7 linked regions of the Rattus norvegicus genome follow. The protein of the gene in region 2 purifies or fractionates together with the protein of the main gene of each other region. This does not show direct contact. Links are inferred from orthologs where the notes say so. Each region holds a gene or a part of one and is shown on either strand. Other genes may lie near its edges. The genes, in order: Phf12, Morf4l2, Rbbp7, Kdm5a, Hdac2, Ash1l and Sin3b.

What was found.
Region 1: the proteins of Morf4l2 (region 2) and Phf12 purify together in Homo sapiens (affinity purification with mass spectrometry; 9 studies listed by BioGRID and IntAct, counting the BioPlex papers as one, with this or other methods). This does not show direct contact. The link is inferred for Rattus norvegicus from reciprocal best matches to the Homo sapiens genes MORF4L2 and PHF12.
Region 3: the proteins of Morf4l2 (region 2) and Rbbp7 purify together in Homo sapiens (affinity purification with mass spectrometry, with the first as the bait; 3 studies listed by BioGRID). This does not show direct contact. The link is inferred for Rattus norvegicus from reciprocal best matches to the Homo sapiens genes MORF4L2 and RBBP7.
Region 4: the proteins of Morf4l2 (region 2) and Kdm5a purify together in Homo sapiens (affinity purification with mass spectrometry; 4 studies listed by BioGRID and IntAct, with this or other methods). This does not show direct contact. The link is inferred for Rattus norvegicus from reciprocal best matches to the Homo sapiens genes MORF4L2 and KDM5A.
Region 5: the proteins of Morf4l2 (region 2) and Hdac2 purify together in Homo sapiens (affinity purification with mass spectrometry; 4 studies listed by BioGRID, with this or other methods). This does not show direct contact. The link is inferred for Rattus norvegicus from reciprocal best matches to the Homo sapiens genes MORF4L2 and HDAC2.
Region 6: the proteins of Morf4l2 (region 2) and Ash1l purify together in Homo sapiens (affinity purification with mass spectrometry; 5 studies listed by BioGRID and IntAct, counting the BioPlex papers as one, with this or other methods). This does not show direct contact. The link is inferred for Rattus norvegicus from reciprocal best matches to the Homo sapiens genes MORF4L2 and ASH1L.
Region 7: the proteins of Morf4l2 (region 2) and Sin3b purify together in Homo sapiens (affinity purification with mass spectrometry; 5 studies listed by BioGRID and IntAct, with this or other methods). This does not show direct contact. The link is inferred for Rattus norvegicus from reciprocal best matches to the Homo sapiens genes MORF4L2 and SIN3B.

What each region holds. Positions count from the first base shown.
Region 1 is NC_086028.1:63,411,319-63,415,292, reverse strand, and holds part of Phf12 (PHD finger protein 12), read right to left. Parts: intron 3,679-3,974; coding exon of another isoform or gene 3,650-3,678; exon of another isoform or gene 3,531-3,649; coding exon 3,405-3,530; intron 3,012-3,404; coding exon of another isoform or gene 2,953-3,011; intron 2,828-2,952; coding exon 2,684-2,827; intron 1,417-2,683; coding exon 1,318-1,416; intron 443-1,317; coding exon 360-442; intron 1-359.
Region 2 is NC_086039.1:104,883,022-104,887,422, reverse strand, and holds the start of Morf4l2 (mortality factor 4-like protein 2), read left to right. Parts: upstream 1-1,476; 5' UTR 1,477-1,546; intron 1,547-2,221; exon of another isoform or gene 2,222-2,381; intron 2,382-3,311; exon of another isoform or gene 3,312-3,764; intron 3,765-3,874; exon of another isoform or gene 3,875-4,062; intron 4,063-4,401. UniProt on the Homo sapiens protein: Component of the NuA4 histone acetyltransferase complex which is involved in transcriptional activation of select genes principally by acetylation of nucleosomal histone H4 and H2A.
Region 3 is NC_086039.1:35,559,847-35,564,436, forward strand, and holds the start of Rbbp7 (histone-binding protein RBBP7), read right to left. Parts: upstream 3,185-4,590; 5' UTR 2,911-3,184; coding exon 2,895-2,910; intron 2,025-2,894; coding exon 1,880-2,024; intron 1-1,879. UniProt on the Homo sapiens protein: Core histone-binding subunit that may target chromatin remodeling factors, histone acetyltransferases and histone deacetylases to their histone substrates in a manner that is regulated by nucleosomal DNA.
Region 4 is NC_086022.1:155,300,396-155,304,369, reverse strand, and holds part of Kdm5a (lysine-specific demethylase 5A), read right to left. Parts: intron 2,397-3,974; coding exon 2,176-2,396; intron 205-2,175; coding exon 1-204. UniProt on the Homo sapiens protein: Histone demethylase that specifically demethylates 'Lys-4' of histone H3, thereby playing a central role in histone code. Does not demethylate histone H3 'Lys-9', H3 'Lys-27', H3 'Lys-36', H3 'Lys-79' or H4 'Lys-20'.
Region 5 is NC_086038.1:42,101,552-42,106,299, reverse strand, and holds the start of Hdac2 (histone deacetylase 2), read right to left. Parts: upstream 3,174-4,748; 5' UTR 2,968-3,173; coding exon 2,916-2,967; intron 1-2,915. UniProt on the Homo sapiens protein: Histone deacetylase that catalyzes the deacetylation of lysine residues on the N-terminal part of the core histones (H2A, H2B, H3 and H4).
Region 6 is NC_086020.1:176,777,239-176,781,212, forward strand, and holds the end of Ash1l (histone-lysine N-methyltransferase ASH1L), read left to right. Parts: intron 1-269; coding exon 270-571; intron 572-1,138; coding exon 1,139-1,230; 3' UTR 1,231-3,609; downstream 3,610-3,974. UniProt on the Homo sapiens protein: Histone methyltransferase specifically trimethylating 'Lys-36' of histone H3 forming H3K36me3. Also monomethylates 'Lys-9' of histone H3 (H3K9me1) in vitro. The physiological significance of the H3K9me1 activity is unclear.
Region 7 is NC_086034.1:17,169,725-17,173,698, forward strand, and holds part of Sin3b (paired amphipathic helix protein Sin3b), read right to left. Parts: intron 2,383-3,974; coding exon 2,175-2,382; intron 1,942-2,174; coding exon 1,825-1,941; intron 396-1,824; coding exon 157-395; intron 1-156.

The sequences.
Region 1 (3,974 bases), on a different chromosome or scaffold from region 2:
TTTCAGAATCCACCAAAACCTCACCTCTGAAAGCCTAGTGACTCCATATTCCCTCTCTCTGCTCCTCAGAACTGGCTCCTATTGATCTGATAGTCACTGGCACACAATTATGATGAAACGCAGGGACATACAGAGCTTGGCTTCCTTCTACTCTGGTCCCTTCCCTGTTTTGAGGTGGCCTCCCTCAAATGTTTCTGTGAGCAACATCGGCTGTAACAACAGCTTGCTCCTGCACCAAAGCAGGCTGCCATGGTGGAATGCCAAGCCTTTCACACCTGCCTCTGCCCGTGGCCAGAACCCAGTGCTGGGGAAAGACCTCAGGCTAGGAAAGCTCCCTCCCACCCATCTCTGCCTCTCACCTCATCGTAGAATATGCAGGCATGTTTCCCGGACACGTAGTTACAGTGACCATAGTTTGTAAGGCACACATCCATGTCAGCTCCTGCAAGGTGGCAGGAGTCAAGGGAAAGGGAGAGAACAGACTTGTGAGGTATATGTGTTGGGAAGGTAAAAGAGAGGGGAGTTAGTTTCTGGGTGGTTGCTAGTAGAAACTTCAAGGTAGCTCAGAACCTCTTTTCTTTTTCCTTTCCTTTATAATAATGGGCAGCTTTGAACTCTTGATCTCCCTGCATCCATTCCAGAAGTACTGGGATTACAGATATATGTTGTTGAGTTCATCAATTCCCTTTGTTGTTCTAAAACTTAATTTGCATTGAATACATGGCAGCTACCCAGACAGAGCAGTAAGTTACTGAAAAGGATGGTAAATCCAGGGCACTTTAAAGGGCAATTTCTAGGGTTGGGGATTTGGCTCAGTGGCAGAGCGCTTGCCTAGGAAGCGCAAGCCCTGGGTTCGGTCCCCAGCTCCGGAAAAAAAAAAAAAAAAAAAGGGCAATTTCTAGGATAAGGGGTGATTGGGGGTGTGGTGGGCAATACCAGTAGTTGTAGTACTAGAGAGGCTGAGGCAAGAGGACAGACATGAGTTCAAGACCACTCTGGACTACAGAGATCCTATCCTAAATCATCGTGATGACCAAAATAAACTAACAAAGGAGGGTTATGTGTGAGTCTATTACACCCTGAGAATAAGGAAGTGTCCTCTTTTCAAGTTTCTCCTTATAGTGTTCCAGACTCTGCCTAGAGGCAGTTAAAGCAAAAGGCCTGAGCCAAGGAAGTACCCCATTGGATTGTCTGGATTTTTAGTCTCCTTGCCTAGACACTCACTAGTTAGACCCATCAACCTCTGAAAGGGTTTCTTTAAGTGTCCATCTTTAGGCTGAAGATCCAGTGCCCCTCCCAGACTCCTGGCTGGCTCACCTGTCCCGATGTAGAGGGTTCGATAGCACATGTTCACAGCTCCTCCCAACCCTAAGAGGGGGTAGAACACAGCTCGGGCTTGTACCTCCTTCCTTTGCACTATAAGACAAACACAGGGATAGGATCATTCAGAACCCAGAACCTGTGACCCAAACACAAACCAACAAATCCTGAATCTATGGTTGGTGGCCTTGAAAAAAAACTCCTACTGGGTGGCTCATGCTCAAAACTCATGCCTGCCCCAGAGCTGCTTCAGGGAAATGCTTTCCCACAACCATAGCATTTTCAATACGGGTTAGGAAGGATCTTCATTGAAGATGGTTACAGAATGAGGACATGAGTACTTTTAAGTTCCTGGGTACCTGGTGAGCTTAACAAGGACATTCCAACTGGTAATAAAGAGAACATGGAAAACATAAGGTACAGCTCTGTTTCTCAGGCTTTAATGAGCACGTCACTGCCTATGGAGTCCATAATTATAATTTAGTTCTACAGTACCTGTTCACTAAGTCAATGGGTTTGATTCCTAGAACTACCACCACTCCCACCAGAAACCTGACCTAGATTTAGTTGGCTATTTGTGAATTTTAATTTCCTGTATGCTAGTTCACACACACTTGTGAGAGTTCACACACATTTGTGTTCACATATATACAAACAACTTCTGGTGTTGTTCCTCATATTCTATTTTTGGGGGGAGATAAGGTCTCTCACTGGCCTAGAATTCAAGAAGAGGTTTAGGCTGGGCAGCCTGTGAGTCCAAGGGGCCAGTCTGTCTACCTCTACTCGCTCACCTCAGGGATTGTAAGCAAGCATCACCATACCTAGCTTTTGCTATGTGGGCTCTAGGGATAGAACTCAGGCCTCTTTGGTGACAGAGCAGTCTAGAATCTGTTTCTAGTGAAGGCTTGAGCTCCGATGTTGCTGGCATGGTACTTTAAGTTTCTGAAGCACAAGGTTCTGAAGGGCTGAGCTGAGCTTAGAGGTAACAGAGTTAACCCTGGAGAAGAATTTCCTACTATTTTTCTATTTCTCACTTTAAACCTTGGGAAAACCTAGTTCAAATATTACGGAGTAATTGAACAGAAAGAATACAACATATACCCCAAAGTATTGGTAGCTGTTTTGTTATGAATCAAAGTGGACTTCTGTGAAAAAAAGTTATGGCAAACTCCCCAAGTCTGACCAAAAATTGTTTATCTTGTTTGTGCTGAGGAAAAAAAAAGAAATCACCATGCTTTATTAAACCCAGAGGTACAAAGAGTGTGAGCTACTGAAAGCAGAGAGTCTCCGTGGAGCAAGGTGGTCATTCACACACATCAGACAGGAGAGCTGATGGTGTGGTGGCAGGTATGTGCACGCGCACCTTCTGTGTGGTGCCCTCCAGAAGACAGCGGATGTGTCCCAACACTGCCCGGTGAAGCTTGACCCCGGGAAGGGAAAAGCTGATGTATTCTCTGCAAGGCCAGAAACTTGATCAGCTTCTCGTCCAACATATTTATCTCGATTTCTATCAACCAAAGAAAAAGATCAAAAAGCTGAGAGAAATGGAATGTGGAAGCAGATAAGGGTGACAGGGCCAATCCAGCAAGTGACAATGTTCAGACAATGGAACAAAGATTTGAAAATGGGTACCTCACGTGCCCTCTGCAGTGACAAGGGCCCAGAGCAGTGGCTTCTTGTAGTAAGGTAGGCTAATATTAAGTAAAGAAAGACAGGACCAATATACCCAGTTGCCTGTGAGGAAGATCTAGATGTCTGATACAGACTGACCTTTTCTACCCACTCTCTGTGCAGAGAACTCCATCTCTATTCTCTTTAACTTTGGAGTTTTCTAGACGGAATCAACCTGGTTCTGTTTTGCTGCCAGGGGATCTGCCTAATGTGATTCTGCTCTTTCCCGCCCTCTGGCTCAGCTTGGCTGTGCTCTCCTTCTCTTCGTCTTTGATTGTATTGTATAAACCCAGAAGGCAGAGACAAGAGAAGGTGCCTTCTTTCCCATTCTTCTACCCAAACGGACACACTTATTTATCCCCATCTCCTATCCCTCTTTAAAAGAAGTTGAATGCTAATGGGACATTACTCACCTCCGCTGACATCCATAAATGCTCGAAGTGAGTTGGTGAGGTCCACCATGGCAGTAGAGTTGGCTGGGAAAGAGGGTACGGTTAAAGCGCTTCCTATGGATAACGTGCCGGGGCTGACCTTGCCATCTGGGGACGGAGCAGGAAGACTGTTACTTACGTCGCCTGAGGGAAACCCACCGGTCCAATCCCCCATTGTTGAGACAGTTCTGGATTTCGGACCCAAGGTGATGTTCCCTTCTTGATTCTCAACCCACAGGCTCTGGAACTCCTAGAGCTAAAAACGTGTGGTGAGGAAGGGCAGATGGAACAATAACATACGGGCACGCAGGGTTTCCAGAGCACTGAGAACTGCTGCAATCTACTATTTTGGGGCAAGTGCTGAGGTTGCTTCATTCTTGGCTCATGAGCACCCACCTCTCTGCTCCTCTACTCTTACAGAAGTGGCACCTGCAATTCCTCTCTGCTGAAGCACAACCGACAGTTGGCAAAATTCATTCACACTCGCAGAACAGAGTTGGAAATAGGACCAGGGGCTCCCATGCAAGGAAACCACAGGCACCTGGTTGCTGA
Region 2 (4,401 bases):
ACAACATATGAAAAGCATCAAGCTATTTTTCCATATTTGATTTGCTTTCCTAATGGTGTTTTTAATGGTTCAGTCAACAGTAGTCAAAGTGGGAAACAATATATAACGTATAGTTTCAGACTCTGAAAGAGGAATACTAATGGTGACACTTAATGTGCAATTTCTTAATCAGCAAAACAAGACAGATACAATGCAGGGTATATCGCAAAATATTTTGCTACACGTTCTATGGCACCCTCTAGTGGTGTCCAAAAACGAGTGTTGAATTGTAGCCCTCCAAAGCAGTGGTTCTCCAATTTTAGAGTGCATTGGATTTACTAGAACAATTTGTAGTGGATGGCCAAGCTCCATCCAGAAAACCTTTGATTTGTGAGACATAAAGCAGGGCCTATGAATCTAATATTCTGATAACTTACCGAGTTTTACTGATGCTTCTGATTTTTGGAGAACCGCTCTAAAAAACCTTTCCCCTTTGCAGCTGAAGACGTGGCTCAGCCATTAAGACCACTTGCTGCTCTACCAGAAGACCCGAGTTAGGTTCCCAGCATCCATGTCAGGTGTCTCAGAACAGCCAGTAATCCCAGCTCCGGAGGATCCAGTGCCTCTGACTTCTGAACACATACACATGTGTAGAAATACCTAATTAAAAACAGTAAAATTAAAATCTTTTAAAAAACCTTCACCCTCGGGTGGATAAATACATATAATTAGTGCCTGAAACCTATTTTTGGCTGATTATAATGTAGTACAATTCTGTTAAGAAAAAGAAATACCTATGGGAAGGAATTTAATACATCTGAAATATAGAAAATATTAAAAAAAAAATCGATGGTCTGACTGGGGAGATGTCCGGGGAGGGGTAAATGTCTGCTGCTCAAACAGGAGGGCCTAAGTTCAGTTCCCCAGCATATATATAAAAGCTGAACACAGGGCACTGATCTATAACCCCAGTGTTTTAAGGGGGGCTGTTGGTAGAGACAGGCAGATCCTGGGAGTTCAGTGACAAGCCAGAATAGCACATAGAGTAACTCCGAGTTTACTCAGACCCTTCTGTAAAAAAATAAGGCGAACAGCAATAGAGGAAAAGACGTAAAGAAAGGTGAACTTTAGCCCCAAAATGCACAGGCCACACAGGTACATAAATTAAAAAAAACCACACACACCTCAGGGCTATGTTATTATGCGCTCTGAAACCTAAGTGAAATGTTTTACTATTTCCTATCTGACTCTAAAAACACAACCGAGTTTTTCGGAATGTAATGAGAATAGTAAAAAGAAATGCCCTTTGTCTTACAAAAACAGCTTAGTCAGGAGGAGGTCCAGGACACCCAAGGCTGTACCTGATAACCAGCCCCCAATGACATCAGTCACTAAGATAACCAGACACAGGACAAGAATCCCATGACGCCCGCTACACAGCGAGTATATAAGCAGGAAGATCGAGCGCATCGGTCTTTTGCTGCACACCTGGAGACACACCTTGAGCTGCCCTGCAGCCAGAGAGTCTCCTCGGGCTCCTGCATCGGAGACTAGGCCTGATCTTCAGGTAAGGGCGTCACAAACGTGAGCTCCCTTGGGAAAACTGTAGTTAAGAACCAAGAGTGTTGTGTGATGACTCTCGCCATGATAAAATAGAATTTTTGGTATACTAAGCTTCTACCTACTTGCTTAGGAGGGCACAGAACCATCACATAAAATTGGGGTGTAAACACCCATACCTGATAAGTTTGAAGAGGAAGATAATCCGCAATGCTGAGGTCTAACTTTACCTCCGAGTTACCTTTACAGACTGACTAGAGGAATTGTTAAGTACTGAAAAGCGGGCAAAAAGCAAAAAGAATATTCTTTCATGGATTTATTTATGCAGAGACAGGGTCTCAATATATAATCTATGCGGCCTTTAATCTAGGGCCCTCCTTCTGCTCAAGTGCTCATACAGCTCACAAAGGGTTTTAGCATCAGAATTTAGGCCCATGTATCAATCCTGAGTAAAATCAAAAGGCAAGGGAGAAAGAAATGCAAGAAGAACAGATGACTTTTTCTCTTTAAGGAAATTAACCAAAATATTCAGATATGTAATTCCTTGCCTAGTATTATTACTTCACAGAACTTGATTTTATTCTTAAGAATTTTATATATATATATATATATATATATATATATATATATATATGAGTCATCCAGAGATTACGGATCCTGTAAGAAGTGGGTGGAGCAAAAAATTAAATCTCACAATCCCTGGGAACCCAGCAGTAAATCCTTTGCTGGGATTTGGTGACATCTAGTGGCAGATTCAAGAGGTATAATGCTCATCCAATGAACTTTCTGGAAAACTGACCGAATGTATATTGGATCGCTACGCTTGGAGATTAGGACAAAAGGTAGGTGAGGCTTAGCATCCACGGGAAATTGGCATAGTCTGTATCACTGGGGAATTTTTTTTTTTTTTGGTTCTTTTTTTTTTTTTTCCGGAGCTGGGGACCGAACCCAGGGCCTTGCGCTTCCTAGGCAAGCGCTCTACCACTGAGCTAAATCCCCAACCCCTGGGGAATTTAATTGTCTTTGTTTTCGTTAGAATTATTTCTACCAATTTAGCAATAAACTTGGTGGGGGGCAAAAGGGAGGTTCTCAGTAATCTTGGTGAGGGGCAAAGGTGAGGCCTTGGAGACAGAGAGGGCGGGGTGTACACTTGGAAACTTAAAAGAAACGCCCTTTTACGTTACTAATATAGTTTTGAATGCTCACCATGGAAGAAGTTTATTTTGTTGGACTAAATTGTGGGAATAATAAGCATCTTTAGGGTCTAAAATTAAATCAGACTGGGTGGGGTGGCCGATGCTTTCAATGCCAGCGCACGGGAGGCCGTGAAGAGACAGGTGGGTCTCTTGTGTTCCAGGCCTGCCAAGCCTACGTAGCTAGAACAGGCCTCATAAATAAAGAAAATAAAATAAAATAAAATAAAAAAGAAAGAGCGAGCAAAGAAAGATAAAAAGGGGGGATTAAATTAAATCAGCAGGCTTTTCTAACAAAAGGCCTTTACCTCTGTACTAGTACTTTCTTGGGTCTTATTTATTAATGCAGTTTGCAAACATCAAAAGGCAGAAATGCACCAAAATGAGGGACCTCACCTACACACACTCTCAGGGCCCCTCCCGCCACCGCGAGAGCTTGCACGCCTGCGCACACCCATCATCCCCGGCGCCACGAGGGCGGCTGTTCGCCCACACCCACACTCCACAGCCACGCGAGCGTGCCCGCGCGCATACACCCCAGTTCTCAAGGCATCCGGGCATCCGCCCGATGGCACTCACCACCCTCACACGCATACACCTCAAAACCTTCATTTTTCCTTTTGGTTTGGTTGGGTTTTTTTTTTTTCTCCCGTTCTGAGGGTTGCGCAACAGGCTCGGGGGCGTGGCGCTGGTTTGACCTCGCTCTTCCCACTCCCGGGAACCTTAGCTCATTTCCGCCTATCCTATTTCCGCAGGCCACGTCGGCACTTCCTTTCCCTGTGGTGCGGGGGCGGGGGAGGGGGAACGGACCCACAAACCCATAATGCCTCCCTGCAGGAGAGAAGGAGAGCGCGAGGGAAAGAAGGTGGGGGAAAAAAAAAAAACCCACGGCCAGGGGAACTCTGGGTCGTGAAAACGGGCCACGTGAACACGCTGCCCTATAGACTTCTGACCCAACGGCTGTAGCGCACTTGGAGGGCGGGCTAAGAACCTAAAAGGGCGACCGTCATTGGTCGGAGCCCGCACTGAAGAAGGACGCTCATTGGTTTGATTTGGGCCCTAACCATGAAGAAGCAGGTTGCTAGCACCCGCCTTTACTGCGGCGGAGTGTCACTGCTGACGTGGGGGCGGTGGTCCAATCATTTGGGTATGGAACATTCTAAAACTTAGACAAGATGGCTAGGATTGGCTGAAGGGCTAAGCCCGCCTCCAGGGTGACGTGTCTGCCTATGGATATCAGTTGCCAGAGAAACCTGGCTTTACTATGGCGGTTGGAGGAGCAGCGGTGGTCACACGTCGGCTGCTGGAAAGAACTGGATTCTCGTTTCAGGTTTCGGGGTGGGGGTGGGGAGGAAGGGTCGATGATTTCCTCTTTCCTTCTTGACTTGTAGATAGGATTAACTAGTGCCTTCACATTCAAGCAAAACTGGATGCGTATTCCTGCTCGCCAACGCCCAACTTGGGCAAGGCTCCTTTCTGTGTCTCGGTTTCCATGTTTGTAAAATGGTGATAATAGTAGCTATCTCGGTCGCGGATTCAGATGTGCCTAGTAAAATAGTGCGTGTAAGGCATTCGACGTGAAGCCTGTCTCCGAAAGACAGGAACAATTGTTACTAAAGATAGATATTTCTGAGGAAGAAAAATTTTAAATGACGCAAATTTGCTTGAT
Region 3 (4,590 bases), about 69 Mb from region 2:
TCTGGTGTGTCTGAAGACAGCTACAGTGTATTCACACATAAAATAATTTTTTCTTTTTTTCGGAGCTGGGGACCGAACCCAGGGCCTTGCGCTTGCTAGGCAAGCGCTCTCTACCACTGAGCTAAATCCCCAACCCCAAATAATTTTTTAAAAGAAGGAGCATCACATCTCTTAGGACCTGAATTACAAAAGGTGAGACGCCAGGTGGGAACTGGGAATCAAAAACCCAGGCACACTATAAGATCAGCCAGTGCTCTTAACCACTTAACTTTTCTCTTGCCCTTTGGATTTTTTTTCTGGGAAACATGGTCTTACTAGGTGGTGGTTGGGTACATCTTTAATACTAGCACTTGCGAGCAGGTGGGTCTTTTTGAGTTAGTTCCAGGGCAGCCAGGGCTACACAGAGAAACCCTGTCTAAAAAAAATTTAAAAAAAAAGAGAAAAGAAACATGGTAATTAATAAAACTCAGGCAAGCCTGTAACTTAGGATACAGCCGTGTGCCACGGCACCCAGCTCAATATATTTTTTGTACTGTTTACTTATTTATTCATTGTGTGTGGATATGTATATTTACAACAGTGTACATGTGTAGATCAGAAGAGTTCTTAATACCATGTGGGTTCTGGAGACTGAACTCAAATTCTTAGACTTGAAGACAAGTGCCTTTACCATGCTGGGCCACCTTGCCAACCCTCAGTCTATTTTAGAATTTGCTCAAAAAACAGCTTAGCCACAGAGCACATGCCTACCATGCTGAGGCCCTGGGTTTGAACCAGTGCTGAAAAAATAAAATCAATGCCTATAAGCCCCCACTATTTAGCCATTTAAGACTTCTCACTGTACACTTAGATTTTTAAAGAGGCATTTTAATGTAAAAAAAAACCTGCAAATAAAAAACATAAGATTTTTTGAGACAACAGAAAGTCTGTATCTGGGAAGTCAATGTTCATATATGGAATTTAGTCCTTAGAAGTTACTTTGCTTAAAACTGGCTTCCTTTTATCACTGGTCACAAAATCTCCCCTGTATATTAGTTTTATTTAACCCTAATTATAGGCTCACAATACAAAAATTCAATATACTTTTAAGGTATGTGCCCATATTCCTATAGAAAAGGTACATGCCTAGATGATAAAGGTAGTCTAATGAAGGAGGTGCCTTGACTTCTGGAGTCAACCGGTTTGGGTTGGTTGAGCCCTAGTTGGTAAGCTATGAGATCACCAGTAGTGTGTGCTGAAGCATTGCTTAAAATTCTCAGCCCTTCTCCTCACTGCTAAATTTGTGAACCGCAATTGTAGTTCTGAGGCTTAAACTCTTCACATGTTAGTTCCTATTATTCTAAGTGCTTAAACCAAATTTATATGCCAAATGTTACAAATATTCAAGAAAAATCACTTAACAAAAATCGCAACCTGAATTATAAACTGAAACCAAACGACTCTTTTCTTTGACTATTGCCAAATTCTTTTTCCTTTTGCTAGTAATTAAATATATGTTTAAGTGTATTCACATTGTATTCAGTTACCAAAAATGCATCAAGCTGTAATAGCTTTTGTTATATATGTAATCTTTCCTCTTAAGTTTGAAAATAATGTTTTGATCTGGAGTCGAGATGCTGGTCTAATAGAGTTCACGGAATGGCAAAATATTCAGTATTTTCTATACACACCATTGGTATCACAATAATATTCTCTCCTCTCAACACACCTCTATGCTTGAAACGATCTTAAGTTTTGAACATAACCACTTGCCGCCTCACCCTCGGCCTAACCAATTACACATTTACATTCTGTGTGTAAAATACCATTATCAGTAATACCTAGCAATTTAAAACGGTACTTAAATCTACACAAAATAAAAGTTGCCAGAAACCCTTACTTAGTCACTTCAGGAAGCCACTGAACGGTAAGACTGGGCCACTGAAGAGCATGGGTCATAACCAGGTCATACAGAAACGGTGTATTCTTCTTCCAGATTTTATATTCTTCGTTGATGACACGCTCCTCCACAGTATCTTCAAACACTGAAATTTGGAGAAAGCCCACAATTAAGTGGCTGAGAAGGGTCGGAGTCAAAGCATGGAAACGGATACTGGAGGTCACCTCGAAAGGGCCACACCTTATCTATTCTTTCCTTTTACCTTTTATGCGCACACAAACCGCTCTCCCAGAAAGTGAGGAGACTAACATCAGGAAGCATTTTCACCTCCACTTTCAAGATCAGTATCTCCTGCGCTTACCGAATTGGGTCATTAATTGCACTAACGTCGAGATTTTCAGCCTTTTTATAGCTGTTCGCACCTGTCTAAGATGACCTGCATTGTAAACGGGCGCCACGACCCACACAAATAGATAAAATCCACGTGTAGCAGCAGCCCATAGGCCTGCTTCCTCCACCCCCCCCCGCCTCAGAGGAGGCCCCAGCTCCCACCACGCCAACATCGGCAGCCATAGTCCGGCGGGCTCCAGATCCTCCCCACCCCCCCTCCCAACACGGACGAAGGCCGCGACCCCGAGACGGACTAAGAACAGGCGTAAGAAGAATCCGCTGCGTTTACTTCTCCACCGCGACCGCCTGCGCCCCCAGTCAAGGGCGTCGGAGGGAGCTAGGCCGCAGAAGGGGGGAGGCGGGTGGGGGAGGGGGCCTACCCCTCGGCCCCGAGCCCGGCTCCGGAAGTGCTCTCAGCCCTCGGCGAGCAGGCCCTGTCCCGCGCAGGCCCCCTCCAGGCGCGCGGCTAGCCTCGCGCCCAGCCCCGCCCCCTGCTCCTCACGCCAATTCGCGCCTTTCGTCGGCGCGTGCCGCGGCCTCGCGCGCCCGCCGCCCCCCGTAGCCCCGGCGCGCGCCCGCCGCCCCCCGTAGCCCCGGCGCGCGCCGCCCCGCAGGGCCTCCTTACTCTCTTTACTCGCCATCTTGCGTCGGGTCGTTCGCCCCCCTTTGCCGCCTCGGACTTCTCTCGCTAGTCAAGAGCAGCCCGATCGCAGGCGCTCCTGCCTCTCCCAGGCACGTCACGCACTCCTAGCTCGGAAAGCCTGAGCTCGGTCTGGCTGTCTGGGTGCTCCCCAGACGCCGCGATCTTCTCTTCTGCCTCCTCCCCGCTTGCGGGTAGCGAGGTCTGAGACGCTCTCCTCTCTCTCCCTCTCTCCAAACTTGGAACGAGACTTTTCAACCCGCGCCTCTCAGCCCGCCCAGGCAGCTGAGCGCAGGCGCATCCGCCCTGGGAAACTGGAGAGGCGGTGAAGAGGCGGGTCTGGGAGCCAACGGCTCGGATACCTCGACCAATAGCGTGCAACGGGTGGGTCTTTCGCGATCTTCGGAGGCGGGCTTCTTAGGAGTGGGTGGGGCGTTCCGCGGCAGGAAGTTCGTGGGGCGCAGGCGCAAGGCGTCACTCGGCGCTCCCCAGGCTGGCCGCGGGGGCGGATGGGCCCGCGCGGGGGTGGGGCGGATGAGAGCGCGGTGTGCAGGCTGCGCGGGGGCTGCGAGCCCCAGGGCCAAGAAGCCTGGGGCCCGCGGGGCGTGGTTGCTTAAAGCAGCAGCAACGGCAGGGGGTGCGAGGGGGGCAGGGAAGCTGCAGCCGCCTTAGCAAAGCAAAATCTCAGAGCCAGCAAGGAAAATGGTTTCCTGTTCTCGAGAGATTACGGTGCCCTCAAAGTCTCCCAGATAATCACGGGCACGCAGTTTTCTGCACCCCCTCCAAGGCTCCCACCCAACCGTTTTGAGGGCCCAGTCGAGCCGTACTGACATTTGTCATGAGCGAAAGGGACCTTTAGGAGAGACCTTGGCGTTTTTTTCTGCCAGAAGCTGGGCAGGCCTCCTTTATTTAAGGCCTGCAATGGCCCAGGCCTTCAGTCCGCCCAAGGCCTAAAGTTGACTTAAATTACTTTTTTGTTTATTCACTTATTTGCGTCCTTAACGTACTGGTTTGTTAGCTTCCTGCTGCAGCAGGGGATTTTGTGCCTACCAGTGCTTCCCTATCTCAGTTCCTGCCTAGGCCCCTGCTGAGTCATTCTTGTCACCTGAAGGGGTCCCATTTTGACCCGGCAGCTGGCTGATGAACTGGAGAGAGCTGGGCTGGGCTAATCTAGGCCAGCATTACCTGAGCTCTGCTTTTCTCTGAAGCTTTTAGCCTGGAGAAAGAGTGGGGGTGGGGGAGGAGGTTGAAGAAAAAGAGCCACATGATCCCAGGGAGAAAATGAGGGCCAGAGCAGAGGGGCCTAAGCGCCGATGCTTAAAGGGAACCACAGTCTGCATCTAAACTCAGAGGCTCTCCTTGCAAAAACACCCCCGGAACATTTGTTCCCTTGATAGCTTTCCAAGTGCCTTCATGCTTAAACGCAGCCATGCAGAGGCCGCGATGATGCCCTCTTTTCTGATCGGGAAACAAACTCAGACGTTACTCTAGTATGTGACAGAAACAGTCATGTTCCCTTATATAGAAATTTACTGTCTTGGGTCTCTTGTTTTCCCATGTGGTACAATTCATTACTATAACGCCCTTCCATGTCAGCTCCAAGAATCTTGCTGGTGACTAACGCTGAAGGGGTGGCTGGAGGCGGGAGGGGGGCGGTTAGAAGGGTGTTACAGCATGGGTC
Region 4 (3,974 bases), on a different chromosome or scaffold from region 2:
CTTAGCCAATTTATTCAGCTCTTTTGATTTGTCCACATTTAATTTTAATTTCTTCTTTTTAGGTTTATCTATTTTCTTTAGCTCCTTGGTCTTCTGTTTTCCTTCTCCAAAAAACTGTTCTACCTTTTCTAATTTCCGCTTCCGTTTCTTCTCTGAAGAATCCTTTCCTTTCATTTTTAATGGTTTCTCTTCTACGCTATCATCCTTCAAAATATGAAATTAATCAAATTTTAATGCAAAACTTTAAAAAAGTGTTATTCTCTTATGTGAGGTACTTAGAACAAGAAAATTAGCAGACACAAAAAGGAGAATAGGAGGTGAGGGAGGGCAAATAATTATTTTTTAATGGTTCAGATTTCCTGTTTGGGATGATTAGAGTTGTGTAACAGGCACTGGTGGTACACATCTGTAATCCCAGCACTTGGGAAGCAGCTGCAATGGGGTGGCTTCAAGCTCAAGGGCAGTGGTCCATATAACGAGAGTGAGTGAGTTCTAGGAATGTACTGTGGTATTTGCATACAGTGTGAATGTACACAACAGAACTCAACTGTTTACTCAACAAAGATATGATAGCTCTTGTGCTGTAGCTACTGTACCAACATTTTAAATTTTTCTGAGATTTTATTTATTTTTTATGTATTTTTATGTGTATTAGTGTTTTGCCTGCATGTTTGTCTGTGTGAGACTGTCTAATCTCCTGGAAATGGAGTTACAGACAGTTGTAAGCTGTCATGTGGGTGCTGGGAATCGAATTTGGGTCCTCTGGAAGAGCAGGAAGCTCTTAACTGGTGAGCTGTCGCTCCAGCCCCAACATTCTTTACATGACAACATGTAACTCTGACAGACTTGCTGAGGATGTAGCTCAGATGGCAGAGTACTCAGAATACCCTGAGTTTGATCCCTAGCACACACAAAACCATATGCTGGGGGTGCTTTCGTGTAATCCCAGCACTTGGGAGGTAGACAAAGGAAAATCACAAGGTTAAGTTCATCCTTTGTTACTCAGAAAGTTTGAGGCTAAACTTGGCTTCCAAAGTCCCTGTCTCAAAGAAAAATAAATAAGAAACTGGTTAATCTCCAAGACTCCAAGACTCTGGAAGCAGGTGCAGGTGACTAAGAGTAGAAAATAATAACAACCCTAAATTCAGAAATGGATTGCTCATGCTTATAATCCTAGCATGATCAAAGGGGGATCATGGATGTAAAAACACTAATATAAAATGTTCGCCATTAATGCACATGTAGTATAGGACGGTAGAGTCTTCCAACTCATCCAGTTCTACTCAACCACCTCCTTGCCTTTTTTTTTCCTGCAAGCATGTTTGGAAGTGCATGTGTTGTATGTACACATGTATGTATAAGTTCCAGTGTGTGTAGAGGCCAATGTTAATGTAAGGTGTCTTCCTCAGTAACTCTCCACTTTATAAACTGAGGTACAGTCTCTTGTTGAACATGGAGCTCACGACTTTGGCTAGTGTAGCTAGCCAGTTTGCTCCAGAGATTCTGGCTTCTGGCTTCCACCCACTGGGGTTACAGGCAGACCACCAAGAGAATCCTCCCCCCCTTTTTTAATATTCGTGCCAAACTCTGGTCTTCATATTTGCACAGCAGGCAAATTCTCCAGCCCAACCTTTTAAAAATTTCAACATTTATCCAGTTATCTAAGGCAACTGTTATAAAACTGATTTTTTAAATTATGTGTGTACATGTGTGTTTCTGTGTGGGGTATACATGCACGTGAGTGGAGGGGCTTTTGAAGTAGAGGAGGGTTTCAGATCCCCTTGCGCTGAAGTTATGGGTGGATGTGAGCCACCCTTTGTGGGTGCTGGTAACTGACCCAGACCCGGAGCATCTGAGTAATCTTAACATCTCTCCAGCCCCTAAACTGCTTTATTGTTTTTGTTTATGTGTTTTTGAGAAAAGAGCTTGTGTGGTGGAGGCTAGCCTCAAGCAGCCAAGGATGGTTTTGAATGCCTGATCTTCTTACCTCTACTTCCCTTGTTTTAGGATTATAAGCCTGCACCATGATACTTGGCTAAACTGTTTTTTAATCTTTCCTTCTCTCTAGCAGAAATAAAAGAATTATTACATAAAATTTCAGTGAAGAAAACAAGTATTTTTGCTTAAATGAGAAAACATGACTGCCAAACTACTACCCACTTAGCCATCCCGTACCTCCATGATATGTAAGAATCTGTCCTCTGAGGGTGGATGTGTGGCCTGCAAAATCCGCCATATGTGTTGTGTCTCATCCAGAGACACTTCTAGGAGGTCTCCAACCATCATGAGTTCTTCCAACTGGGCTTTTGCTCCAGGAGACAATTCTAATACTGGAGGCTCCAAACTTCTGGGAACCAAAGGGCTCTTCCGAGGCTGCTTTCTTGGAGTGCTAGAACCTTTTCCCCAAGACATCAAGAAACAAAGCAAAGAAATGAAAATGGTATACACATATTATGAAAGTTAAATGTTTAGAAAAAAAATTGCCTCTCCTCTCTATAGTAAAGTCAGATAATTGGATACATTATTTTAATACAAAATAAGGTTTTTTTAAATTGTTACTAATGAATAATATAATGATCCATAACATTTCTAAAAGTTTATCGTAGAAAAAATAATCTTCATTTTCCAGAGTAGTGAAATCAAGTTTTATTTATTTTCTCTGGGTAGAAGAAAAGTGAACATCAGCGAGAAAGAATTCACCAAAAGAATTAAGTTCCTAACAATTAAGAATACCAAACAAGGGGTTGGGGATTTAGCTCAGTGGTAGAGCGCTTGCCTAGGAAGCGCAAGGCCCTGGGTTCGGTCCCCAGCTCCGAAAAAAAGAACCAAAAAAAAAAAAAAAAAAAAAAAAATCATAAGACAAAAACAACAACAAAAACCCAATACTGAAGTCTAACCAGGTACAGTGGCACACACTTGAAATCCTAGCACTGAGAAAGCTGATACAAGAGGATTACTGTAAGTTTGAAGCCAAGAGAGGCTACACAAAGAGAATTAGGCCTGCTAAAGCTAAAATGAGACACTGTCTTTACACACACACACCACACACGTGAGCATGCAAAAGAAAAAATCCCAACAAACCAATAAAAACCACAAGATAAAAGAATACCCAAATCCAGTATGGATATCAGTGAGTTCCTTGACAGCTGGTACTGATCAAGTAGAGGGTAAATCAAGGTCTGACAGAGATTTCATACAAATATGACACTTAATCATGTGACCTTAGAAAACATTCCTTCTTGGGACTCTATATTCTATTATCTTTTCAGGACATCAAAAATGATAGAAAATAAGTTTTGGCTTTTCCTAACTACAATAATGTTTTTTGTTTTTATTTTTTTCCCCAGAGCTGGGGACCGAACCCAGGGCCTTGCGCTCTACCACTGAGCTAAATCCTCAACCCCCCACAATAATGTTTTTAAGCTCTCTCACAAGGTGACAACCAGGTTTGTATTCAAGAGGGATTCATAATCTGGATTAATATGATGTCTTTTTCTGTTTCAACTTACTTTCTAACTATTAATTATTTTGTTTTTCTCAGGGTTTAGGACCAAACCTAGGCTTTTCACTTACTAGGCAAACACTACCACCCAACTCAATCTCCCACCCTTATGCTTTCTGTTTTGTTTGCTTTTTGTTTATTTTGTGTGTATGTTATGTGCATGTGAGTCCAGGTACATGTATGTCACAGCATGTAGAGATCAGACAATGTTTTGAGTCTTTGTTGAGGGACCTGTTGTTTCTCCTGTTGTGCTACCTACCACAGACTAACTGGCTGAGAATTCCCAGCCAAATCTGTCTCCACTCCCTACCTCTTGCACCAGCACCAGGACTACATACACATGTCACTGCATCTAACATCTTTATGAGGGTTCTGAAAATCAAACTTAGGTTGTTAGACTTATATGGTTGGTGTTGAACAATCTCCCAGGCCCACTTCTGTTTTTATGAAGACAGAGTCTCAGGTAGCCTAG
Region 5 (4,748 bases), on a different chromosome or scaffold from region 2:
AAAAAAAACCAAAAAACAAAACAAAACAAAACAACAACAACAAAAAAAAAAACAAGATAACTACAAAGCTATCAAGCCAAAGACTCTTACTCTACCATTTTAAATAAAAGTAAATTAAATCTGAAAACAGATGGCCATTCTGTAGAACTCTTGCATTGTTAAGTAAGTTAGGAGTACAGTGGGAAGCACGATCTTGCTAACTGTTTTTGTGTTGCCAAGTGCTTTCCTCTGGACTAGGCCTCCAAACATTTTGATTATGATTAGCTCTATCTAAGAAAATCTGAGTAACAAAGCATAAAACAATTTGTGTTTAATTATATAATTATGCATACATTTAATTCTGTTATAAATTATACATTAGATGGCATTGCATGATTGGTCCCAAGCTTCACTCCAAACAAGGCATAGTTCACATTTCTAGATGAAGTATTAAAACCATGAGCATTGCAATTAGAACCAAATGTGGCTCCATCTGCTAAATTACACTTAAATAGAGAAAAAAAACAAACAAAAAACCCCCCAAAAGCAAAAAACCTCGGTTTAAGGTCAGAAAGTATACTAGTGTGTACATAATTAGCTTCAGATCATTTGATGAAGCATTGATCTTTAATAAGAGATTAGCCAAAATTCAGAAATGTGTTTCTGGGAATTAGGATGAGCAGTCAATCAATAGTCGTAGTCTACTAAGAACTCTGATTTCTCTTCTGAGGATTAGGGATAGCTCACATGCCCCTATCCAAAAGTTCACAGAGCAGTGGCACAGAGATCTAACAGGTCCAGTACTGCAGACAGTAATGAAGACAGACATGTAGAGAATTATTTCTGTAGTCTAGCATGCTATCACATGTCACATGTTAATTAGCTTAAGACACCAATTTAAGTGTTCTTTTCCATTTTTTGTTAACTTTCTTTAATGCAAATATTTGGAATGAAAATACGTCCATCCTAAAAACAAGCAAGAACCAGACAGATTTTCACAGATAACCCAGCAGATTTCCACCATTAGTTGTACAGTTGGTTACTTACATCTAGGTAAAGCTGTTGCATGGGCGTAAGTTAAAAATCACATGACTGAAAAATACCTCCATCCACCCGTCTATCCCATCCCTCAGTAAAGGCTCATCCCCACACAGGAACCCGGGAAGAAGGCGCTGCTCAAGACACACTAGAGTACTGTCTGGTTCTCCATCAGACCCGGTCAAGGTTACATGGGATTTAAGAGTTCATAGCTGAGGAAAGAAGCTGACAGCAGAAGAGACTGAGCTGTTCCCCAACAGTTCATTATTTCCCTGACTCTACCCTCTAGCAGAGCAAACCTTTACTTTGGAAAGGCTGTAATTGTAATTTTTCAAGTTAATTCATACAGTGCATCCTTTCCAATGGATCAGAGAATGCAGGTCAGGGGTCTGCCATGAATCCCACTTCATAATGGTTAAGTCATGTCTAAGTTGTCATGCTTTCCCATCTCTGCTCTCCACGATAGTGTAACTTTTCAATGTAGTCCTCTCAAACTGCCAATTAAGCCAGTGGCACTCGCCTTTAATCCCAGGATTTGGGAGGCGGGGGCAGGTTGATCTCGGAGTTAGAGTCAGCCTAGTCTACATAGGACAGTTTCAGGACAGCCAGGTCAACTTATCGAGAGCCTATCTCAGAAAACAAAACAGCCATTTAAAAGCTGTTTCTATTTTGACCTAGCTTTCTGTCAGGTTTTTGATTTTCCAGCCAATGACAGGTGACTATTTCATTTAAAGCCTGTATTAAAAAAGATTCGACCAAACCAAGAAAACAAACGGTTATTTGCAGCTAAAGTCGGTTTCATTCGGCCTGCTTTTCTACACTGTAATCTACCTCTCCAAGACTTCAATGCACCAACTACAGAAAACGCTCCCAATTTCGTATTGCTTTGTAGAGATGAAGCGTTTCGAGTCCGTGAGGCTAGCTAGTTCTGTCCAATTTCCTTATTACTTCTCTCAATAGTTATCAATTAATGTTCTGGGTGAAATCTGTAAGGCAGGGCACTACTCCATCTAGTGTAATTGGACCCAGAGACTATGACTGCTTATATTCCAAATTAGGGAACACGTACAGTCACCTTGTACCGTCCACTGCACTCTGAGCTCAGCCCTACCTGTATGGAATATGTAGTCTACTTCTCAAAGTTTGCTGCAGCAGGGTCCCCACCACACTTGGACAGACTTCCTAACCAAGATGCCCATGCTCCTTCCTAAGCCCCAGAGCAGAGTATAACTGCGGATCGAACAAAGACCAACAAAGAAGTGGGTGGTAATAACCTCCCATAGAGACATGCCAAGACCCACCAAACAAGAGCAACTCCACGCTCCCTCTCTCCCATCACTTCCCCACAGGCCTACCTACTTCCAATTCAAAACCCTTTAATTGTCACGGAGGAAGTGCAGCCCTTCCATCCGAACCCTGAGAAAGTGGAGCTTGAAGAAACCCGACGAACAAAGGCGAGGGATGGAGTCCACGCAAAACACCAGCGAGACAGCGCCGCTCTGCGAACTTGGCCCCCGGCCAGCAGTAACTCCTCCGCAGCTCCACCCGGGCGCCGGGGTCCCGGGTGAGGCTGGAAGCGCAGCGCCGACAGATCGGGGGCGAGAAGGGGGGACCGGGCGAGCGGGGGAGGGGACAGGGACGCAGGGCGGAGCTCCAGGACGCCGGCTTTGTGCAGTCAGGCCCGGGGAGCCGACAGGGGTTCCTCCGAGACCGGTCCCAGGCAGTGCACCCCAAACATACGCGTGCCCGAGCGGAGGACCGGAGAGGAGCGAAGGCGGGCGTCCCCGAGTAGGCGGGCGAGCGCTGGGTAGGCCGTGTCGGTGTCCCCGCGGGCTGCCACCCTCGATACCCCGCCGCGTCCGACCCGCAGCCCCGCTGCAGGCTCCCCGGCCACTTACCGTCATAATAGTAGCACACTTTCTTCTTGCCGCCTCCTTGACTGTACGCCATGGGCTCCGGCCGCCGCCTCCTGGCTGCGGCTCCTCCTCCGGCTGCTCTCGCCCGCCGCGGCCCGGCGGCCAGACAAGAGGGCTGAGGGAGACGGCGGGCGCGGCGGCCCTCGCAGCAAGGACAGCCCGGAGCGGGACGGCGAGCGGGTGCCGGGAGGGCCCGAGATCGCAGAGCGGGGTTGGCAGCGGCGCCGACGCGCGACACTCGGCAGGGGTAGGCCTCCGGGCGGCGGGGCTGCGAGTTGGGAGGAACCACTGCGGCCGCGCGGAGGGGGAAACACAGCTACGGGCCGGAGGAGAGACCGGGCCGGAGTGGATGCCACCGGTCGAGGCTGCAGCAGTGCTCCGTATGTCTTATCACACACACAGTCCGGAGGTGCGCACAAGCCGACCTTGGCCCTGTGCTCAGAGTCCCGAACGCTCTGCCACCACGTCCCCCTCTCGGTCTGGCACGCACTGGTTGCACCGGGGCCGAGCCTGCGCACTCCGCGCCTGCTCAAACGGATCCCGGGCAGTCTAGACCCCTCCGCCAGGGCTCACGCCTCTCCCCTCCCCCACCGCCGCGACGCGCCTGCCCGAGCCCGCCACGTGCCGCGGGGACTCCGAGGGGAACCCGCTGGAGAGCTCCCCAGGGCTGCCCCCGGGCTGCCTGGTGGTCGGATATTCCCACGCGTTCTAATTCTCCTGTTCTCTCCTCCCTTCTGATAACTACTCTTGAGTTACAGAGAGGTTAATGGCTGAAGGTATCTCCTGGGTTTAATAAGCATTTCTTGGACTCAAGCATAAGCGCGGTTCCCAGCACCCAAACCTGTTTATAATAAACGCCATTTAAAGGTGTCAAAGGTGCCGGGATGCACGCGCCGTGCGCATCTCCTTATGGGTGCGGGTAAATGAAGGAGCCCTCAAGTGTGAGTCATCTGAGGACCGAACGGGTGTCAAACTTTTCCAGACTCCACGTGCTTTGTCTACTGTATCAGACTGTCAGACAATCCAAAAGGATGGATTTAAACATTGGAGTCCCTGTGTTTTAATAGCTTGACGTTTATTGAGCACCAGTCTAAACCAACCTTCTTAAACGTTACGCAAAGAAAGGATGGGAGCTGGCTGTCAAATCCAACACTCACATATCTTAACCGTTATTATTTACAATTCCGGCTACATGCGCACACCGCTTCCTTCCGTAAGAGGAGGGGTTGAAGTAAGAACCATACTGAGTCATTAACAAAAATAATTATTTTCTACCTTGTGACCCCCAGGACTCTCCATACTTAAAACACCAATCTTCTAGACATTACTCCAAGAGACTTAAAAATCACTCCAAGATACCCCTCACCACATCCACTTCTCTCCCAAGCCTGTACTTTTAACAAGACCCTGGGAGATTAACACGGTAGGTTCAGGGACTACAGTGTTCTCCCATGTCTGTTTCCCGTGCTTTTTAATACCAAGTGTCCTTTTAGTTCAGCATTTAACATGTTAACTGTTGGCCGTAACTCCTCAACTGGTCTCTCAGTAGGACACTTTCACAAGAGGATAAGTCGATTTTTTTTTCCCTGAACATAATCTAGTCTAGTGCCTGTGACTTCCAGCAAGCCATTTGAATTTTTTTTTTTGTTTAAGTGCTTTTCACCAATAAAATGAGAGGCTTTCTTATATGACTATTAAAACCTTCTTGGGGCTGGGGATTTAGCTCAACGGTAGAGTGCTTACCTAGGAAGCGCAAGGCCCTGGGTTCGGTCCCCAGCTCCGGAAAGAAAAAAAAAAAAACCTTCTTAAGAAAAT
Region 6 (3,974 bases), on a different chromosome or scaffold from region 2:
AAAGAAAGGTTTAATTTTACAAATGGAAATTAAATTAATTTCTAAGTAGTAGAACACTAACCTAGCATGCACAAACTAATAAAAAGAAAAATTAAATCTCAGAGAAAAGTGATGGTTTGTGCTAGTGCTAATATTCAGATTTTGTTCAGTTCAGATTCTAATAAGCAGACTCCAGGGTCTCAGGCTATCCTTAGGCTTCTCAGTTTCACCTTCCCACCCTTCAAGTGCCTTGCATGGCCTTGCCCTGAATTCACACATCCTTTTGGCAGATCGTCCTGGAAGTCTGAACGTTCAAAGCCGCTCTTAAAAGACCTCGGACAAGATGATGATGCTTTGCCCTTGATTGAAGAGGTGCTGGCTAGTCAGGAGCAAGCAGCCAATGAAATGCCCAGCCCTGAGGAGCCAGACCAGGAAAGAGTCACTGGGGACGTCAGTGACGCTGAAAAGAAGCCAGAGGAGAGTAGTCAAGAGCCCCAGTTAGCCAGCACGCCTGAGGAGCGAAGGCACAGCCAGAGGGAACGGCTCAACCAGATCCTGCTCAACCTCCTGGAGAAAATACCTGGGAAAAACGGTAAGACTCGGACTTATGACTAGGCTAGAAAATAAATGGAAAGTAAATTAAAAAAAGAGGTAAAAAAGCAACTCTGTGTGTGTGTGTGTGTGTGTGTGTGTGTGTGTGTGTCTGTGTGTGTCTGTGTGTGTCTGTGTGTCTGTGTGTGTCTGTGTGTGTCTGTGTGTGTGCGAGCGCGCGTGAACATGTGCATGTGTATTATACTGGAAAATAAACCTAGTACCTGAGATATGCTAGAGAATACATTGTACTACCGAGTTTGTCTGGATTTAGAATGTCATTAATCACTATGCCAGCATGGAACATGTTCTAAGAAAACGGTTTCGTTCTTTCATAAACTTGCTCAGTTGAGTGTTCAAAGTGATGCTAAAATCAGATGGTGTCTTTCAAACCCTAGAGAACCATTTTCTTTTCTGTGTTGGGGCCAGGATACAACTTCAAAACAAAAACTTAGGGCTAGGAACAGACCTAATGCTTTTGACCGTGAGTCCCTGAGTTCTCTAGAGTGCAAATCCAGAATGCAGCAGAAGAGTAACATCTGATGTATCATGTTGGTTCTGATTTCAGCCATTGATGTGACCTACCTGCTGGAGGAAGGGTCAGGCAGGAAACTACGAAGGCGCACTTTGTTTATACCAGAAAACAGCTTTCGGAAGTGACTCTCAAAAGGATGAGAACCTCGAGCATCTGGGATCCAGCGGCACCGTGGAGTCCAGTCTCTTGCTCTCTGGACATGGACTGGGGCAAAAAAGTTCTGTCCAGGCAAGGAATGTGAGGTCACGTGTCTGACATTAGGTACTTATTAGACTTGGAGCTAGTGAAAAGGGAGTGGAAGTAGGCTTGTCTGAGACGGTTGAGTTTACTCCTTTGTAGCTTTGCCTAAGGGTTAATATGGAGAGGAGGACCACATTGGAATAGCCAGAAGCTATTGGTACTTTACAGCACTTGATACTCCTCACAGCTTGGGTTTTTCTGGGTTGCCCTCTGATCCTGCAAGCACTAAGAAGCTGCTTCCTATGACCAGGTGTAAATTCAAAATCCAAAGGGAAGGGTCCAGACCCCAGCCCTATCCCATTTATTCTCTCAGCTCTAAGAGCTGCATCAGAGACCTACACAGAGACAGTAGCTGAGGCCTCTTTTCAGTTCCTTCAACAGGAAAGTTCTTTCTTCCTTCTTGCCTAACCAGGTCAAAGTACTAGAACAGGAATCAACTGCTCAGAGCACTTAGAACTTCCGCCACTCTCCACTCTCTTTCCCAGGAGAGAGTTGATAGAGTCAGGGGGAGGAGAGGCCCCATGGGATCAGGAGGGCAGTATTTGTAATTATTTTTGGTTTACCCTTCATAACCTGCCGAACATATTTTTTCCTACTGAGAAAGCCAAGCCCCCGCCAGCACACATGCTGCTTCTCTTCCTGTGTGTCTGCTGTGCACCGATTCACTTCACAAAAGAACAACATTTTTAAACTTCTCCCCTAACAAAACTCACTACAGAACCGTTGAGCAGTGTTCACTATCAGAGTGTTTGTTCTAAGTGTAGATTACCGATTGAAAACACTATTCTTATTTTCTTAACTGTATAGTTCCCGTGTCCATCCCTGCACTCATCCCGTTTCCCCTCCACCTTTCTGAATGACTTCATCATCAGGAGGTATATCCAGGGTTGCCGTCCCTCCCAGTCTCTTGGCCGGAAGTTACCAGACCATACTGTCTCTTTACAAGTAAAATTCAAAAAGCTTTGCTTTGTCTTCTCAGACATACATATGCATATACATTTTAGATGTTCTTATAAGAGAAAAGATGGTTTTTAAATGTGCCAAGTTATGTATGTGTGTGTATATATATGTGTGTGTGTGTGTATATATATATGTGTGTCTGTGTATATATGTGTGGGTGCGTGTGAGTATGTGTGTGTGTGGGCACACGCACATGTGCACAAGCGTTTTGTGTGTGTGTGTGTGTGTGTGTGTGTGTGTGTGTGTGTGTGTGCTGTGAGATTGGTAAGCAATACATTAGTAAACACATCTTCATTACTCTTTTCCGATACTGGACCAATGATGTCCTAACTGTACATTTCCTTCCCCTTATGATGACGACGCTCTGACTCATTTAGGTAGAAACATTTGACCACCTTTCATTCCATTGATTTTCTTTTTCTCCTTTCTGTGTTATTCTTAAGGGAAAAGAGAGAGAGAAAGAGAGGGGGATAGCATAGATCCCCTTGAGCAGAGAAAAAGCAAAATATTTTATTAAAGAAAAAAAGAGAAATTAAGAAAATAGTTTGGAGTATTTTCTTACTGTAGAGAAGCATTGTACATTACCACGAGACCTGGGTATAAGATGCTCACGTGTGGCGCTGGGGAGCGCATGTCCAAGCCCATTTGAGTGGTTTCTTTTGTTTCTCATTGCAGGGAGTGGGTGGGAGGGAGGGAGGACTAAGGGCACTTTCGGGGGTCTCCTTTTAGTCAAAAGCAAGAAAATGACAAGAAAGAGATTAAATTCAATGTTTTCCTTGAATAGTGTTAAACACTAAAATTTTAAAACAAGAAAGAAAAAACTTTGTAAAATGCAAGAACAGAAGCAAAAGACACTACGCTGTCATTTTTATCTTTCTTTTGTTGAAAGATTAAAAACTGAAATGTTTTTTAGACAATCAAATGTTAGGTAAGTGCAAAAACTTGTTTTTCTTACTGGTGTAGAAATTAATGCCTTTTTTATTTTTCAGTTATTTTATAATAACAAAATAAAAACAACCCCCAGCTGCCAGGTGGGTTTTGGTGTTCGAAATGCGGGGCAAAGCACTACATCACTGCAAATAGATACAGAGTTAGTCTGCATGTCTGTAGGCTGTGTGATTGCGGAAAATATAAATGCTGCTAATATATTTCCTTTTTACAGAAAAGCATATCTAAATAGATGATTGTTTTGATGTTAATCTTTGTAAATTATGTATTACCAATTTTAACATTGGATGTAATTGCATAAAGGCTTGCATCTCAATCCTTGAAAGTCTAGCATTAAATGGAAACAACTTTTCCTAACTGTGGAGTGGCTACCTTGCTGTTTGTGCCTCTTTTCTACCCTGCAGAATCTTCCAGCACCATCTGCACCCTGTTTCTAAGGACAGCTCCCTAAAAGTCTGTCATCAATAACCCACATGAGCCATTTCTTCTAGAATCTGTCTTAATTGAATCCAGCCTTTCCAGTAAACACCACAGTGATCACAGTACCAGATAGCCAACAACTAGTTGTTTGTCAAACAAGCTGTGCTTAGAGCCACTTTTTTATTTTGAGGTAGTATCTCACTTTGTAGACCAGGTTGACTTAGAACTCAAAATGTGCTGAGAGTGAAGGTGAGTGCCAGCATGCGGGCCTCCACTCGTCTTGTTCAGGTATGCTGAGGAC
Region 7 (3,974 bases), on a different chromosome or scaffold from region 2:
CGTCCGTACCTGGAGATGAATGAGACCACATGAGATGCCCAGGAGCCTGGCTGTCAAGACTCTGCTCAGGCCTAAGTCAGCTGGAGGCTGACCTGAAGACAGAGTCAACTGACTCCATCATTCAGGAACCCAGAAGGGAAGTACAGGAGGGGGTACCTTTTCAGGACGACAGGCACGGCGGTGGCGGGGTTCCTCTTCAGGCTCTCAATGACCTCCGGGGCCTTGTCTCCGTAGATGCGGTGTATGGCACGGCGCTGAATCACCTCCGAGGTGCCGCCCAGGCAGTCATCCAGGCGGAGCTTCTCCTGGTCCTCAGGAGCCATCCTCGACAACTTCTTCTGCACACTCTCCAGCACTCGGATGGTGGCCAGGTTGGTCTCGAGGACAACGTCCAACTGCAAAGAGGAGGCAGGCATGGTCAGAACTGGGGACTGGTGGGTGGTTAGAAGCTGTCAATGGAGCCAGTAAGTGTGGGTGTCTGTCTACCAGAGCACACCTATGTGGGAGGGCAGCATTCCAGTGACAGCCGTGGCACATATCATCATGGAGGTGGGGCGGGTAACAGTCACATAGGCTCACTCTCTCTCCCTCCCCCTCCTTTCCCTCCCTCTCTCCCCCTCCCCCTATCTCTCTCTCCCCTACAGTCTGATCACCTGCCACATTGAAGTTTAGGAGTGGGTGTGTCAGTATTAATGGGAGCAGGAAGATTGTGTTCTAAGAAAACTTTGCCTCAAACAGAACACAGGACCTGGTGCGCCAGCCTCAGACTGTCGGGTGGGTGGGAATGTTTAGGAACGGGGTTATAAGCCACGACTGGCCTCCTCTATGTCCCAACCACCATGGGATACCATAAGCAGGCTTTGCCAAGTATGGCACATTTGAATTACACTTCCCAGCAGCTGCTGGACTCTAGTTCATAGAAACTGTCTTGTCCATGGGACTTGTCACAGCAGAAGCTGGAAGCACACACACACAGAGGAAATGGGTGGAGGGCACACACGGTCAGCCATCCTAGCACTTGGAAGGAGGATCACAAGTTTCACACCAACCGGGGCTGCAAAGAGAGACATTTCAGACTGAAAGGCAAGGCTGCGGAGCTGGCTCAGGGTAAGAGCTATGGCCGTCCTTCCAGACGACTGCAATGTAATTCCCAGCACCCACATGGTGGCTCACAACTGTTCCTAACTCCAGTTCCAAGGGATCCAATGTCCTTTACTGGCCTCTGTGGGCATCAGACCGACACACAGGCAAACACCCACATACATAAAATAAAAGTAAATCTAAAAAAGAAAACAAAACAAAACAAAAAGACATGCAGGTATAAGCTTGTAAAAGGGAAATCAGGATGAAATGAAGGTGCTTCATTGTCTGTCCCCAGGAGGGGCACTTGGTTGGGTCTGAAGAACTCAATTACAACTTCAGTAAGAAATGATGCTAACTTAGCCTGGCAGTGGTGGTGCACACCTTTAATCCCAGCACTTGGGAGGCAGAGGCATCAGTCTCTGAGTTTGAAGCCAGCCTGGTCTACAGAGTGAGTTCCAGGACAATGAGAACCACACAGAGAAACCCTGTCTTGAACAATCAAAAAGTAAAAATTAAAAATAACGCTACCTTAGTTTCAGTTAACTACCCACTGTCTTCAGCTGAAAGGAAGGGGTTAACGCTGTGCTGCAGCTCAAGAGCTGGCAGAGCTGGCAGCCAGGGGCTGATCACAGCGCTGGCACACTTTTGTGACAGGGAGAAGAGACTACAGGACTAGGCTATACAAGGAAGGTGCTGGGCTCGGAGGACAGCAGCTCAGGCAGCCAGAGGTGTTTCACCTACTTCAAATCGCTCATCCTCACAGCGATGCAGCTGCTCCTCATAGGGCGTCTTCTTGGAGCTGACAAAGGTGGAGTCTTCAGACCAGGATGGGAAGGAGACCCATGTATCATTCAGGACCTGGACCAGAGGACAAGATGTCACTAAGTACACTTGGGGACAGGGCAGAAATGAACAGTGATAAAGATGACCAAGTCCCCACGCCAGTGTGAGCTGTAAGCACTACCATCCAACAGGACATGAAGTTCAGGTGGCCTCTGCTGACATGCCCCAGTATCAAATGTCATCAGGGGTCTGGACCCTGGCCCATGGCTGTGTGCCATAAAGGGCTGACCTGTACCCCAAGGTGCTACCTCCTTGCAGATGGCAGTCCTTCCGCTGCACTTGGGCTGCTGGTAGGTCTTGGGAAGTGCCCGGTAGCTGGATCCTATTCGCTTACAAGATGCATAATCAATTTCTCTGCTTATGCCGTCTCCAGACCGGTCACTCATAGGTGGTGCAAAGGACAGCTCTTTCACTCCCAGGAAGGACTTGAACTGTGCGAAGAGTTCTGGAAATTTCCTTCAAAGACAGACAGAAAACTTTAAGTGGACACTGGACCATTTGAAAATGTTCTAGAGTCATAACAACAGCCTTGAAGATAGGGAACTTCAAGGATGGCCTGAGTCAGAACTCAGTGTTAGGAAAGGGAGGAGGGTTCTCTCCTACCAACACCAATCATGGTCCTATAGCTATAGACCTTTGCCAGCTGCACTAGGCCACAGCCACAAAGCACACTGGGAATAACCTCTGTGAGTCTCACTGCCTGGATTTTCTGTCCCTTAACTTAAAAAAAGTAAGAGGGAGCTAGAGAGATGGCTCGATGGTTAAGAGCACTGGTTGCTCTTCCAGAGGACCAGGGTTCAATTCCCAGCACCCACATGGCAGCGTACAACTGTCTATAACTCCAATTCCAGGGAATCTGACAAACTCAGACATACATGCAGGCAAAACACCAATGCACATGAAATAAAAATTAATTAATCAACTAAAAGAAGAAAAGAAGAAAACGAGTAGAGCAGCACATGTCTTCCATCCCATAACTCGAGAGGCAGATCTGGGTAGATCTTGTTAAGTTTTAGGCTAGCCTGGTCTACAGAGCATGTTCCAGCACAGCCAGGATATGAGACCCTATCTCAAAACAAACAAACAAACAAACAAAAAAAACCACTCAAGTGTCCCATGGGCCCTGTGACCAGCCAGCCCATGTGCCCAATCTGTGTTTACAGCCAATCTGTGCCCAAGCCACAGTCTGGAATTGAACCGAGTTCTAGGCTAGACATGACCTCCTTTAAGTTATTCAAAACACAGACAGACACCAGCCTTGACCCCTGAGCCCACACCCCCCAAGCCCTGGACATTAGCCCCTTCTGGTCACTGGCTGTACCCAAGCCTGGGCAGAGCACCCCTGCTCCTCCCTATTCCTCAGAAGGTCGCAGGCATCACAAAGTTCCCCGAGGATGCTGGAGTCCTGGGGTGGGCCGGGTCAGTCTCCCTTCTACTGTTTTCTGGTGACTCCAATGGCTGCTATAGCCTAAGGAGGATGAAACTGAACTCCAAACTCAGAAGTCAAAGATGGGCCATTGCCCTTGACCCAGGCCAGGTGGCACACACTGCAGCCACAGACTGTTTCTGCAAAGCTTTGTTGGCACCCAGCTCTGCCTCACTTTCTTGTTTCTGTCCATGGCTGCTCTAGAGGACAGAACGGAGAACAGCTGTGTCCACCAGGGCTGTCTTCCCAGGTGAATTTTCCCTCCTTCATGAGTTCGACCTCTCCCCACAAAGGCCCTTGTGGTTCATTCTCAGAAGTAGGGATGGAAACAGGATGCGTGTTAATGGGACACTTTACAGCAACTGACATCCAATGCCACCTTGGTTTCTGCTAATTTTTTTTCTGCTAATTTTTTTTTCTGCTAATTTTTTTATGTAGTACCTACTGTTTGTATCCCATGTGTGCAGGGAAGGCACATGTGACACACAAGTCAGCAGACTGTCAACTACAGGAGGGTCACGGGAAATATGTGCAACATAGTACACATACATGCAAAACGGAGAAAAACAGGGAAAGACAATATCATTAATAGGAATGTGCAGTTCAACACAGCACACACCCA